Saccharomyces cerevisiae S288C: one gene and its partner. Changing the gene in region 1 together with any one later gene gives a genetic interaction. Each region holds a gene or a part of one and is shown on either strand. Other genes may lie near its edges.

What was found. A genetic interaction does not mean that the proteins touch.
Region 2: mutations in PTC1 (region 1) and YCK1 together harm fitness more than expected from each alone (negative genetic interaction), as found in Saccharomyces cerevisiae (4 studies listed by BioGRID).

What each region holds. Positions count from the first base shown.
Region 1 is NC_001136.10:433,556-441,254, reverse strand, and holds PTC1 (type 2C protein phosphatase PTC1), read right to left. Parts: upstream 1,347-7,699; coding exon 501-1,346; downstream 1-500. Other genes in the region: MED2 (Med2p), read left to right, coding at 1-241; proteasome regulatory particle base subunit RPT2, read right to left, coding at 1,895-3,208; YDL007C-A (uncharacterized protein), read left to right, coding at 4,431-4,688; APC11 (anaphase promoting complex subunit 11), read right to left, coding at 7,261-7,699. UniProt on the Saccharomyces cerevisiae protein: Serine and threonine phosphatase. Involved in tRNA splicing and cell separation.
Region 2 is NC_001140.6:372,194-377,270, reverse strand, and holds YCK1 (serine/threonine protein kinase YCK1), read left to right. Parts: upstream 1-2,960; coding exon 2,961-4,577; downstream 4,578-5,077. Other genes in the region: ARO9 (aromatic-amino-acid:2-oxoglutarate transaminase), read right to left, coding at 21-1,562; SPL2 (Spl2p), read left to right, coding at 2,171-2,617; metalloendopeptidase WSS1, read right to left, coding at 4,713-5,077. UniProt on the Saccharomyces cerevisiae protein: Casein kinases are operationally defined by their preferential utilization of acidic proteins such as caseins as substrates.

The sequences.
Region 1 (7,699 bases):
TAACAATACCACCAACAACGACAGCAATAACAAGAACAATTCTATCACTACCGGAAATGATAATGAAAATATAGTTAATAATGATTTACCAACGACCGTTGTTTCCAATCCTGGAGATAACCCTCCTCCAGCCGACAACGGTGAAGAATACTTGACATTAAATGATTTCAACGACCTTAATATTGACTGGTCGACCACTGGAGATAATGGCGAATTAGACCTCAGCGGCTTCAATATATAGCTTGGTCTTCCTATTGTTAACTATTGACTTGTAAACCGTGTTGTGCATTCGCTACGTGAATTTAATTGGTATATATATGATAGAATATGTTCTCCAGTTTAAAAATCTGGAATCCTATTCTACTAAAACCTCATTCGTCATGTGAGAGATGCATGCAAAATAGATTTGGTACGTTTATACATATACATACATACACACATACACATTGCATATCTCTATGTCTATGCATAATTTTTGCGCGGTTTATAACGGATCCTTCTTAGAGGAAGACAACCATGACCGTTACATTATCTGTTGTGCCATTTTCCAAAGCATATCTAACCAAGACTTTTGCAGCTTCATTAGGTTCAGTAATATCCTTGATTAATTCGCATGCATCTTGATCATCAATAACATCCCATAATCCATCACACGCTAGGATTAAAAATTTGTCCTCAGAAGTTATTTCTACGCTCGTGGTAAATGGGCTGCCCACTACTAAACTATCAAAAAATTTATCCCCTAACGATCTCGTCACTGCCAGCATACCATTTACACGACTTTTCATTATCAGGCCACCTGCTTGTTCAACTCTCTGCATCTCCAAAGTGTCAGATGCCTTATGATCATAAGTCAGTCTTATGCTGTTCCCGTTTCTAAACAATACTATTCGAGAATCACCAACATTTGCTGTATATAACTTTCTTTGGTGTTGGGCTAAATCCATTGAATCATCAGAAACTGAATCCGGAAGCTCCCAACGTAATACGCAAACAGCAGCAGTACATCCACTATTTCCTACAAGTTTTGTATTAATTTCTTCGTCAATGGCTAGGAATGAATCGTTCAATACATCTCTAACATCTCGTGTTTCATCTGCCAAAATGTTTTGCTCTATAATTGTATGAAGATGTTTACCACACCATTTGGAGGCCTGAATCCCAGCATGTCCATCAAACACCGCGAAATATCCCCAATCTAATCTTGAAGCAAAGTTTTTAACATACGTATGAACATCTTCCATTGTCCTCCGAAATTTCGAGTTTTTATTTTCCGCCACACCTACTCTATAAGTTATGTCATATGGTGTTTCTGGCCTTTCTAAGATTTCAGAATGATTACTCATTATAATGATTTTTAAAAGATAAATGCAGTGCCTAAATGATATATGAAGTAAGAATGTGCAAAATCTCGTATACTCGGTATAGAATGGAATTTAACTCACCTCCTAATTGATAATACTGCCTATTTATTTTCTTTTCAACGACAACAAAAATAAGCGTTCACTTACTTAAACTATCAAAACTTGTTGTGTTTGGGGTCTGTTAATGTAAAGGAATCCGGATAAAAATTTTGAGACAACTTTGAGAGCTGTTTAAGACGAAAAAAAGTGACCTCAAACACACGAATAATAATGTTTAACTAAGCTTTCAATTTGCAAAGGTATACTTTGTCTTTTGAGTTTTAGTTTCCTATAAAATTAGGACAACAAACCCTCTCAGATGTGTTCACCAGTTTTCCTTTGCAGTTAGAATTCGCGAAGGCCCCGACGCCCTACCTATATTAAGTTTTTGAAACAAATATTGCACGTGATACAAAATGTACACATATTAAGCTTTGTTGAAGCATTACTTATATACGTAAATCTATTATAGAAAAATGTAAATGGGCACATCACAAGTATAAACCTTCTAAATTTTCCTCAACTTTATTTTTCATGACTCTCTCCTTGGCTTGTTTAAAATCCTCCGCTGTAACTTGCATTCTTCTCTCTCTAAGGGCTAACAAACCTGCTTCTGTACACATTGCCTGGATATCGGCGCCTGACAAATCATCCTTTGTTGTTACTAAAGTTTCAAGATTAACGTCCTCACTTAAATTCATCTTGGAAGTGTGAATCCCTAAAATTTTTTTCTTAGTACTTAGATCAGGGTTTTCAAATAAGATTTTACGATCAATTCTCCCAGGCCTGATTAATGCTGGGTCAAGAGTCTCGATTTTGTTAGTGGCCATAATCACCTTCACATCCCCTCTGTCGTCGAACCCGTCCAGCTGGTTCAGCAATTCCAGCATGGTTCTCTGAATTTCTCTCTCACCACCACTATTGGAGTCATATCTTTTAGTACCAATGGCGTCTATTTCATCAATAAATACAATACTTGGTGCATTCTCACCCGCTACTTTGAAAATTTGCCTACACAACCTAGGACCATCCCCCAAATATTTTTGAATTAACTCTGAGCCAACAATCCTTAAGAATGTGGCAGATGTTTGATTTGCAACAGCCTTTGCTAGCAATGTCTTACCTGTACCGGGTGCACCATAAAGAATCACACCCTTGGGAGGTTTGATACCCATCTCTTCATACAGTTCGGGGTGTGTTAACGGTAACTCTACAGACTCTTTTATTTCTTGAATTTGAGATTCTAAGCCACCAATATCACTGTATGATTCTGTTGGCGACTTATCCATTTTCATGACCGAAACCATTGGATCGGCGTCATCCTGTAAAACACCTACGATGGACATGGTTTTATGATGCAATAACACAGAACATCCAGGCTCTAGTAACTCTTTATCGACAAAGGATAAGATAGATACATAATAATCAGGCATAGTTGGACTTGTCACTATCGCATGATCATCGTCTATAATTTCTTCAAGGGTCCCAATGCTCAATGGATTTCCACGTATTTCTTCCAATTGTTTCTTTTCCTCCTCCTGCTTCTTTTCAAAGGGTTTTAAAATTTCAGAGTTAGAGACAAATTCTTCTTCTAATAACAAATGGTCTTTAATTCGTTCCATCCTTAGAAGCTTTAACTTACAACGAGTACTTGGATATATGTTGGGTAATTTTTCAGCAGTAGCTGGACCTCCCTTTCTTTTCTTACGACCAAATTTAGATTGAACGGGAGGTTCATATTTGGGTTTCTGATTAGATCCCTTCTTCTTCTTTTTGTCTTGTCCAGATGATACACCTTGTCCCATTTTATTTTCTATTAAAAACGCTGTCTCTTCTTTAACTTGAATTGACTGTAAGCTTGACACTGATACGCATCATATTCACTAATATTCACATTAACCTTCTTTTAGGTAAAAGAAAAGAGACATTTGCCACCGGAGAAAAACCGTTAATAACTCGTTACCCGGAGTGATAAAAATATTGGGAATATAAAAATGACGACAACTGCAGGACTCGAACCTGCGCGGGCAAAGCCCAAAAGATTTCTAATCTTTCGCCTTAACCACTCGGCCAAGTTGCCTTACTAATGATGAATTATTGACTTAAGATATATCCCAAACCTAGGAATATGTAAACCTGCTGGAATATTATTTGTTAGAATAAAAATCAACTATTCTCTCTCAACTAGTAGTCTTACTACGAGTATATTATAATGTACAATGTTAGATGATGACATAAGGTATGAGAAACTGTCATAGAAGTTAGAGGAAGCTGTATTCTGTATACATAATATTATTGCCTTTATTAACAATGGAATTCCAACAATTATCACTTGTTGATAGTTAGAGGTAAAAAATAGTATTAATGAAGAAATAAGTATTGATCTTCTTATACTAAATAAGAGAGGTATATAAAACACACGCCGATTGGTCATATTAATCATGACCAATATAATAGTGATTCCGGTAGTTACTATACATTGATGTGACGACTCATATTCCTCATATATGTACCTACCATATCATGTTCAATTAATAGATCTTTAGCACAGCTTCAGTATTGTCTGAGCTTCTCGTTTAACATTCCTTCTGCAATAGGTGCAATCACACTTAAACGTATACGAGGTGTACATTAATATACGGTGTAAGCATTAGATTGTTACCATAGCAACTCATGTCACTATTAATTACTCTCGTTCCAACATCACTAAATTCCCGTAATTACCACCGCAAAAGAAAAAAGAATACAAGAAATGGAAAACTAGCGCATAATTTTGTTTCTTTCTTTTTCAAAGTTGCAGCCGCTACTATTGATTCGTTTGAAAATAGCACTTGGCGGCTAAACTACCGGCATAGAAAGTGGATCGGGCAAAATTAAAAGGGAAAGAGCGACGGGGTTACGGGACCATTACATAAAAAAAGTATCACAAAATCTATTGTATGCAAAGATATAAACCATCACATTATTGAAATAATATCGTTCTTGATACTTCCATAATCCAAGAAAAATATTTCAAGCACTTTCTTGATGTTCCTTCCTATAATTTTTCACACCATCCTAACCCTCCTGAACTTTGGTAAATATTACTGTTTACCTATTCAAGAAGACGATGATAAATCAGGAAAAGAAATTGAACAAATTTTAGACAATAACATCGAGTCATTAGGACTACTACTAAATTCGATGTCCTTATCCTCGAACTTTACGACAGGCGATCCTGAACTAGATTCGCTCTTCCAAGATGATTTAATCCCCGAGTTATATAGTGTATTAGATGGCTTCTAACACCAAGTATGTGTATTCTAAGGGTATACAAAATAAATACTGCGATACTATTCAATTCTTCAACAGCAGCTTACTAGATGTAAAATTAGTTACTTCAATTTATACTGTCACTTTTGCATATTTTCAATAGAATAAAATTACCGACGTCTGCCTATTTCTTCCATTGATGGATATATTTCTTTCTCTATCTCATTGCTTGTTACAACACCAAAAGTTTTGCTAAGAATGTGTATAGGAAACAAAAGCCAGAAGTCATTTCGTTCCAAGCCTTTAAGCGCCTAATAGTGAACTTTGCACCGCATACGTTAGCTTATGGTATGTGTGGTAATGTGTGAATTGTTTGTGATATGTAAAAAAAAAAAAAAAAAGGCCACGCTCAAGCACACAATGAAATAAAATTTAAATTTCGGGGCCATTCTACCGTTGGTTTTGCTATCTGCCGGAAAGAGGAAGTCCACAAGTGCCAAAAACTGTCAGTTACATTTTAAAAATAATCGAAATTTATTTTCTTTTGCTATCTCGGTTAAATATTGATGTGTGATTTGGCATAGTTGGCCATTGTCTTATGATTTCTGATTCTACGACGTTCCAATTTTTTATAATCAGTTCAATAATAATAATACATCGATCGGTCGGTCATATTCTTTTCTTTCTTTTTCTGTCAAGGCGTTACTGACGCGACACACAAGCGGCAGGTATAGTGACGTTTTCCGTTGAATGAAGTAATTCTAATGAACCTACGGTTCTCAATAGCATTGGCAGAGGCAGCTGATAAATGTACAGTAGTTTTTACCAGGAAATCCAGCGAGTATTACACATCCGTAGACGCGCTATGTTTTTCCTCAGGTTATCTTTCAGTAATGCTTGAGATCTCTAAAGGAAGTATACACAGTAATAGTGTGACCCAAAAGTTGTTAAAATTTCCGGAGGTAGCCATTATATACCAATTTTTGTATAAATTTACAGGATTAGAAGGTACCTAAAAAACTATAACATGTCAAGAAAGGCCTCTGAGAAGTGAAACAATACTTCCAAGCACAAATATATATTAATAGAATAATGACTGCTTGGTAGTTGAGAGATTACATGTATTGCATAGTGACTGAAAAAATTTAGTATAATTGCTATGTTGCTAGCACAGTGTTAGAATAGGGGCAGATCATTTGTATCATATAATGGGGTATGGAGAACAGGTACCAATTGGGCATATTGAATATTTCGAATATGATGTTATCTCCAAGAATGTACATCATGTCCATTGTGACATTTCATGGTTTTATATATGGGGTTTCTGCATTTTTCAACAAACATCTCTTTTATAAGCTTTGCGCTAGTTATGGTATTTATTTTTCAAATTAATAACTTACAAATAAACAAAACTTTCTCAACTAAATATTTATTTCTTCCCTGTAGACTGTAAAAATTTCGGAAGCAAAAATAAACCTCCCTGAATGTTAAAGGTGATTATTAGGTGAATAATTTGATAATTGTTGCAATTCCACTGTTTGTAAATTCTATAGTATTATGTATACAGAATACAGCTTCCTTTAACTTCGACGACAATTTCTCATAACCTTATGTCATCATCTAATACCGTACATGATAACACACTATAAGAATTGAGAAACAGTCATCAGATGAGATGGAAGCTGCAAATGCAAGCATTGAAAATATAATAAATAACGAATGATAACAAAAAATGTGGGGAAGAAAAAACAACATTACCATGTATGATTCTTGCTTCCCTCTTGTAGTATCCTCTATCTTGTAAGAGACGTTGTGATATACTGAATACCCAGTAATATTCCCGCTATCTAGAATGAAAATTGTTGGAATTGAACTCTAATATCATCTATTTAATATTATATTATCACATGCGGTGTAAGAAGATGACATAAAGATTGAGAAACAGTCATCCGATCTAATGGAAGCTGAAATGCAAGGATTGATAATGTAATAGGATAATGAATGACAACGCATAAAAGGAAAGAAGATAAAATAATAACATTATGTAGAACTATCGATTCCCTTTTGTGGATTCCTATATCCTCGAGGAGAACTTCTAGTATATTCTGTATACCAATATTATAGCCTTTAGCAACAATGGAATCCCAACAATTATCTAACAACTCACATATTTCTCAAAAATAACACAATTTTATGAAAGTTCACATAATTGAGTTAGAGCTTGAAATACTCTAACTTACAATCAAATGAACACAAATCAGAAGCTTCTATGGCCAAGTTGGTAAGGCGCCACACTAGTAATGTGGAGATCATCGGTTCAAATCCGATTGGAAGCATATTTTTATGTATTCTAAGTATGCAACGATACCGCTGTCATCGTTAGCATGATTAGTACACTGTTGTTCTTTTTCAATCTAACAACCTTAACTTCAGTTCCGGCTACAGTACATCTATTCAACGATTGGAAAAGAAAATTTTTTTATCTTTAGCTGCAACAAGAAAAAATCAATATTAAATTTTCATTTAAGTATACAGAATGTTAACAGCGTTCACAAGAAAAGAACCGTATGGAAATATAGCTAATTGTGATTTCTAAGTTTCTTTTTTATCGTAACAAAAAGTCTTCGTCCAGGATGGTATCAACTTGCTGTCTACCGATTGGGTTATCGGTGTTTTGCCTTATTGGTTCATCAAAGTCCACAAACTCTTCTGCGACGCCCTCCTCTATCATTTCTTCTCTTCTTCTTGAAACTATTTCAACGAACTTTTGGACATGAGCGTCATTAATTGCTAGACCCTTCTGTAGCTGGAAAGTTTGCCTACACATCGGACACAGTCCTTTTGAGGTTGGTGTATCAAGCCAACGGTATATACAATGATCATGGAAGTTATGATGACATAGCCCAATCACTAAAGGGCATTGATCGCCTGGAAATTTACAGCTTGGACAGGTACCGTTATAACTGGCACGACAGATACCACAGACATCCTCGTCTTCATCATTGCCAATTGGATCGTTATTGGCTGCGTCCTCATCAGATGTG
Region 2 (5,077 bases), on another chromosome or scaffold:
ATAGGTTTAATCTTCACTGTTCAACTTTTATAGTTGTCAAAAAATTCTTTTATGCCACTACCGATTCTTTTGGAAGCTTCAATCAACTGATCATCATCCCTTGCATAGGCGATGGTGAGTCTTAGAAAATCTGAATTCTGCTTTGAATAATTTGGGCAAACAGCCATTTTATAACCAAGCACTACTTTAACACCATTCTTCAGCAAGAACTTATCTAAAATATCCATCTGTTGCGGCAAATCGTCAGGTCTATCGAAATTCCCCCAATTGATTTTAATAATGATGAACATACCCGCGGAGGGTTCCATAACGGTAAACTGACCAGCTTGGTAAGATTCTGTTTCGTATAAGGCTTTCAAAGTAAGATTTTTCCTATGATTGTATTTAGAAGCAATCTGCATTATCCATCTTATCCAACCCTCAAACATTGCTTCTTTCATAGAAAGAGAGGACGATAAGTTGGACTCAGCCATTGCCTTTATTGTAGAATAAACAATAGCTTGTGAGGTACCACTGGGGGCCCTTGTAGTAATGTCGGCCAAATCCAAGATTTTTTGCAAAAGGAATTTATTAGCAACGATGAAGGATAACCTTAATCCAGGAGCAAAAATTTTAGAAAAAGTCTCCAAACGGATGACACGGGCATCTGTATCCAAAGTCAAGAATGATTTCATTAAAAAATCATTCAAATACCGTTCAGTAGTCAGGTCGCTAGAATGGTAAGGGTTTTCTAATGGCTCTTGCGGATTATAGGAAGGAAAGTACAGATAACCGTAGGGATCATCTTCAACAATGAGGAAATCGTGTCTTTGGGCCAACTGGTAAATTTTCTCTCTTTTCCACTGGGGGACAGACATCCCGGTAGGATTTTGGCCCGTTGCAATGGTATATAGGACCCTTGGCTTGTTTAAGTCTTTGTATGGTCCAGTTGACCAATTATCGAGCAACTGCGTTAGATATTCGACATCAATACCCTGGGACTCTCTGTCGAAGGTCAGGTTCATCTTGATGGGGATGACTTTTGCTCCTGTAGCCTCCACATTGGACATAGCCGGGGTGAAAGTAAACTCTTCAATCATCACAGTGGTCGATTCGTCGCAAATTGTTTCAAAAACCTTAAACATTGAATCGTTGGACCCGCCAGAAAGGATGACATCCCAGTTAGACTCCGTCTCATCGGAAAAGGCTGGGCGATTAATTCTGGACACAAAATCTTTAACAAAATGTAAGAGAGGGGGTAAACCCTTGGTTTCTGCATATTGGAAAGAACGTGCAATGGGTAGCTCACTGGGGGATCCCAAGTCCAAATGCGCCGTGGTAAACGAATTATGCCATTTTGGGTTATCATTAAAAGGAACTTTTGATATTTTCAAATCCATAGATTCGATAGGAAAAAATCTCTCGTTTGGCATTCCACCAGCTAGCTCAATGACGTCATCTGAGATATCAGAAGCATCCCAAAAGCTTTTCAGAGATCTATTTTCTACTCTTCTGGAGAGAAACGGTTGGAAGTTCTTCTTTAAGGAAGTGTAATCAACAGGGGGGGCAGAACCAGCAGTCATTGAGTCGATGAGAGAGTGTAATTGTGGTATGTGTGTATTTTTATGTTTACACTGGGATATTACAAGACCAAATCAAGCTTTTTCCTTTATATATATCAAATATTTATAATGTTTCCTACCCCAATGATGGTTCGGTTATCCGCGGCAAATCTCGGTAAGCATCGGCAATGCTTCCGCGAGTTACCGCTTTTTTTTTTTTATTCCTTTGTTATTATCTACGGCCGTCGGCGGCAATAGTATTTTTGCTCACGTGACCGACAAGGGTCCATTTTATTGCGGTACGGCTCTCTCTTTTTTTTTTTCTCCTCTTCAACTTCTCTCTGATTGCAAACAATATATAACATAACCATGTTCATTACGTACGAAAATATATATACATAAATGCATGGCAGTTATGGCAATTACAACTACAACGCCGTAAAGTTCCAAACGCAGCGGCCTGAGATAGTAAATGATGTACGCACGTGGGCGAAAGTTCATTACTTTGACTGTTGTAACATACCGTATCTCTCTTTTCCCACGTGCTCCGCTCTCTTATCTACCTTGGCGGTACAGCCCTGCGCGGAGTCACTGCAGCCACGTGCCTAGATCTATTACTATGACTTCCCATGGGCACATATACGCCATTAATATACAATATATATAACGTTCATATATGGGTATTTACAGAGAGCCAGGGGCAAATTGGACAGATGTCTCCACGCGGCAAAATGGAAACAGCAGTTTCACAAGGACAACACAAACAACTTAAAGATGGTCACCAGCATAAGGGAAGAAAACTCTCCGAGGAGATCGCTTCTCTATTGAGGCTCAAAGAGTGCAGGAGGCTCAATCCTGCTAGTTACTATACTCCACGTAGAACATCGCAGTCACAATCTCTCAGTGGATCAACTTTTAAAGAGTATAACGAGTACATTAATGAGAAAGATTCAAGTAGAGCGCAGCGTCAAAACGCTGCCGCCGTTTTAAGCAAGCTCGCCCATGACTTTTGGGAGAACGACTGTGTCATTGACGAAGACATATTCGAAGATTCGTCTGACGAAGAACAATCATGATTGCATCTCTTAATCGTTACACATACATACCTTCTACCTCTGTACTGTTACATATGCATTGACTTTACGATCTAATATAAATCCTTTTGATGTTACCCCGCCTGTGGGCTCGTTCTCCTTTCGTTTCTTACGATTTTTTCGCCGGAACAAGAAAAAACAGAACAAAACAAATCAGCGATCGTATACATGGGTCTTTGATTTCTGCTTGCTTCTTACAAACAACAAACGCAAACCGTTCATTGAGTGCTCTGTGACTGGTTTTCATGTGGATGCCATAGTAGAGAAAAGACACATACAAAAATTTCGCGCATTCGCTGGCCCTTTTCCTGCTCTCCTCTTCCCCATGTCCATGCCCATAGCAAGTACCACTCTAGCAGTTAACAACCTCACCAATATAAACGGAAACGCAAATTTTAACGTACAAGCAAACAAACAACTCCACCACCAGGCTGTCGACTCGCCCGCAAGATCTTCGATGACCGCCACGACCGCCGCCAACTCCAACAGCAACTCTTCCAGAGATGACTCTACTATTGTCGGCCTACATTACAAGATCGGCAAAAAAATAGGGGAAGGTTCCTTTGGTGTGCTATTTGAAGGTACTAATATGATCAATGGCGTACCCGTCGCGATCAAATTCGAGCCCAGAAAAACGGAGGCCCCTCAATTAAGAGATGAATATAAAACATATAAAATTCTGAATGGCACTCCCAATATCCCCTACGCGTACTACTTCGGCCAAGAAGGTTTGCACAATATCTTGGTCATTGATCTTTTGGGTCCCTCTTTGGAAGATTTATTTGATTGGTGTGGAAGAAAATTTTCTGTCAAAACGGTTGTGCAAGTTGCTGTCCAAATGATTACTTTGATTGAAGACTTGCACGCACATGACTTGATATACCGTGATATCAAACCAGACAATTTCTTGATTGGAAGGCCCGGCCAACCTGACGCAAACAACATCCATTTGATCGACTTCGGTATGGCCAAACAGTATCGTGATCCGAAAACTAAACAGCACATCCCATATAGAGAGAAAAAATCACTCAGCGGCACTGCCAGATATATGTCCATTAATACTCACCTTGGAAGAGAGCAGTCCAGAAGAGATGATATGGAGGCCTTGGGTCACGTTTTCTTTTATTTCTTGAGAGGCCACTTACCCTGGCAGGGTTTAAAAGCTCCAAACAATAAGCAAAAATACGAAAAGATTGGTGAAAAGAAAAGATCTACTAACGTTTACGATCTAGCTCAAGGCTTACCTGTGCAATTTGGCAGGTATCTAGAAATCGTCAGAAGTCTTTCCTTTGAAGAGTGTCCCGATTATGAAGGCTATAGAAAACTATTACTATCTGTACTGGATGATTTAGGTGAAACCGCGGACGGCCAATATGATTGGATGAAACTGAACGATGGCCGTGGTTGGGATCTTAACATAAACAAGAAGCCAAATCTCCACGGATACGGCCATCCAAATCCACCAAACGAAAAATCGAGAAAACATAGAAACAAACAGCTCCAAATGCAACAGCTCCAAATGCAACAGCTCCAACAACAGCAACAGCAACAGCAATATGCTCAAAAAACTGAGGCAGATATGCGCAATTCTCAATATAAACCAAAGTTAGACCCTACTTCTTATGAAGCTTACCAGCATCAAACCCAGCAGAAATACCTGCAAGAACAACAAAAGAGACAGCAGCAACAAAAACTTCAGGAGCAACAACTTCAAGAGCAACAATTGCAACAGCAGCAACAGCAACAGCAACAGCTACGTGCAACAGGCCAACCTCCATCTCAGCCTCAAGCGCAAACTCAATCTCAGCAGTTTGGCGCTCGTTATCAACCACAACAACAACCTTCTGCTGCTTTAAGAACTCCTGAACAGCACCCAAATGACGATAATTCAAGTCTAGCTGCTTCTCATAAGGGCTTTTTCCAAAAATTAGGTTGTTGCTAAATATAGAAATGACATTTTTTGCAAGACTACCGTCTTTCTTACATTTTTTGTAATGTGAATATATCTGTATACTTTACAACCGAAACGACATTTACCATACTTATAATTTTCGAGTTCTTCGCTGTGGACAAGAGATTAAGTGAGATCAATAACTTCGATAAGAGTATCTCCCGGGAGTACCTCGTCATCATCATCAAGGATTACAACTTCTAAGGAGCTGCTAATATTATCACTTATTATTTGATCTTTGTTATTCTTCGTCTCTCCGCACCAGCGATCATCTCTATATCTCCTTTCGGCTGCAAAAGCCGCCAACTCTCTCGGGGAATTACCTCTATCTATAGATGATATACCCTCTGGATGCAAACTCCCTAACTTCACACCTTTGCCCCTTTTTCTCACTATCCCTGTGTTAGTACTTATTCCTGTCATAGGATATCTATTTGAACGTAAGTTTGCTCTTCCACCGAGACGTTGACCGTTCCCCAAAAATGTGTCGT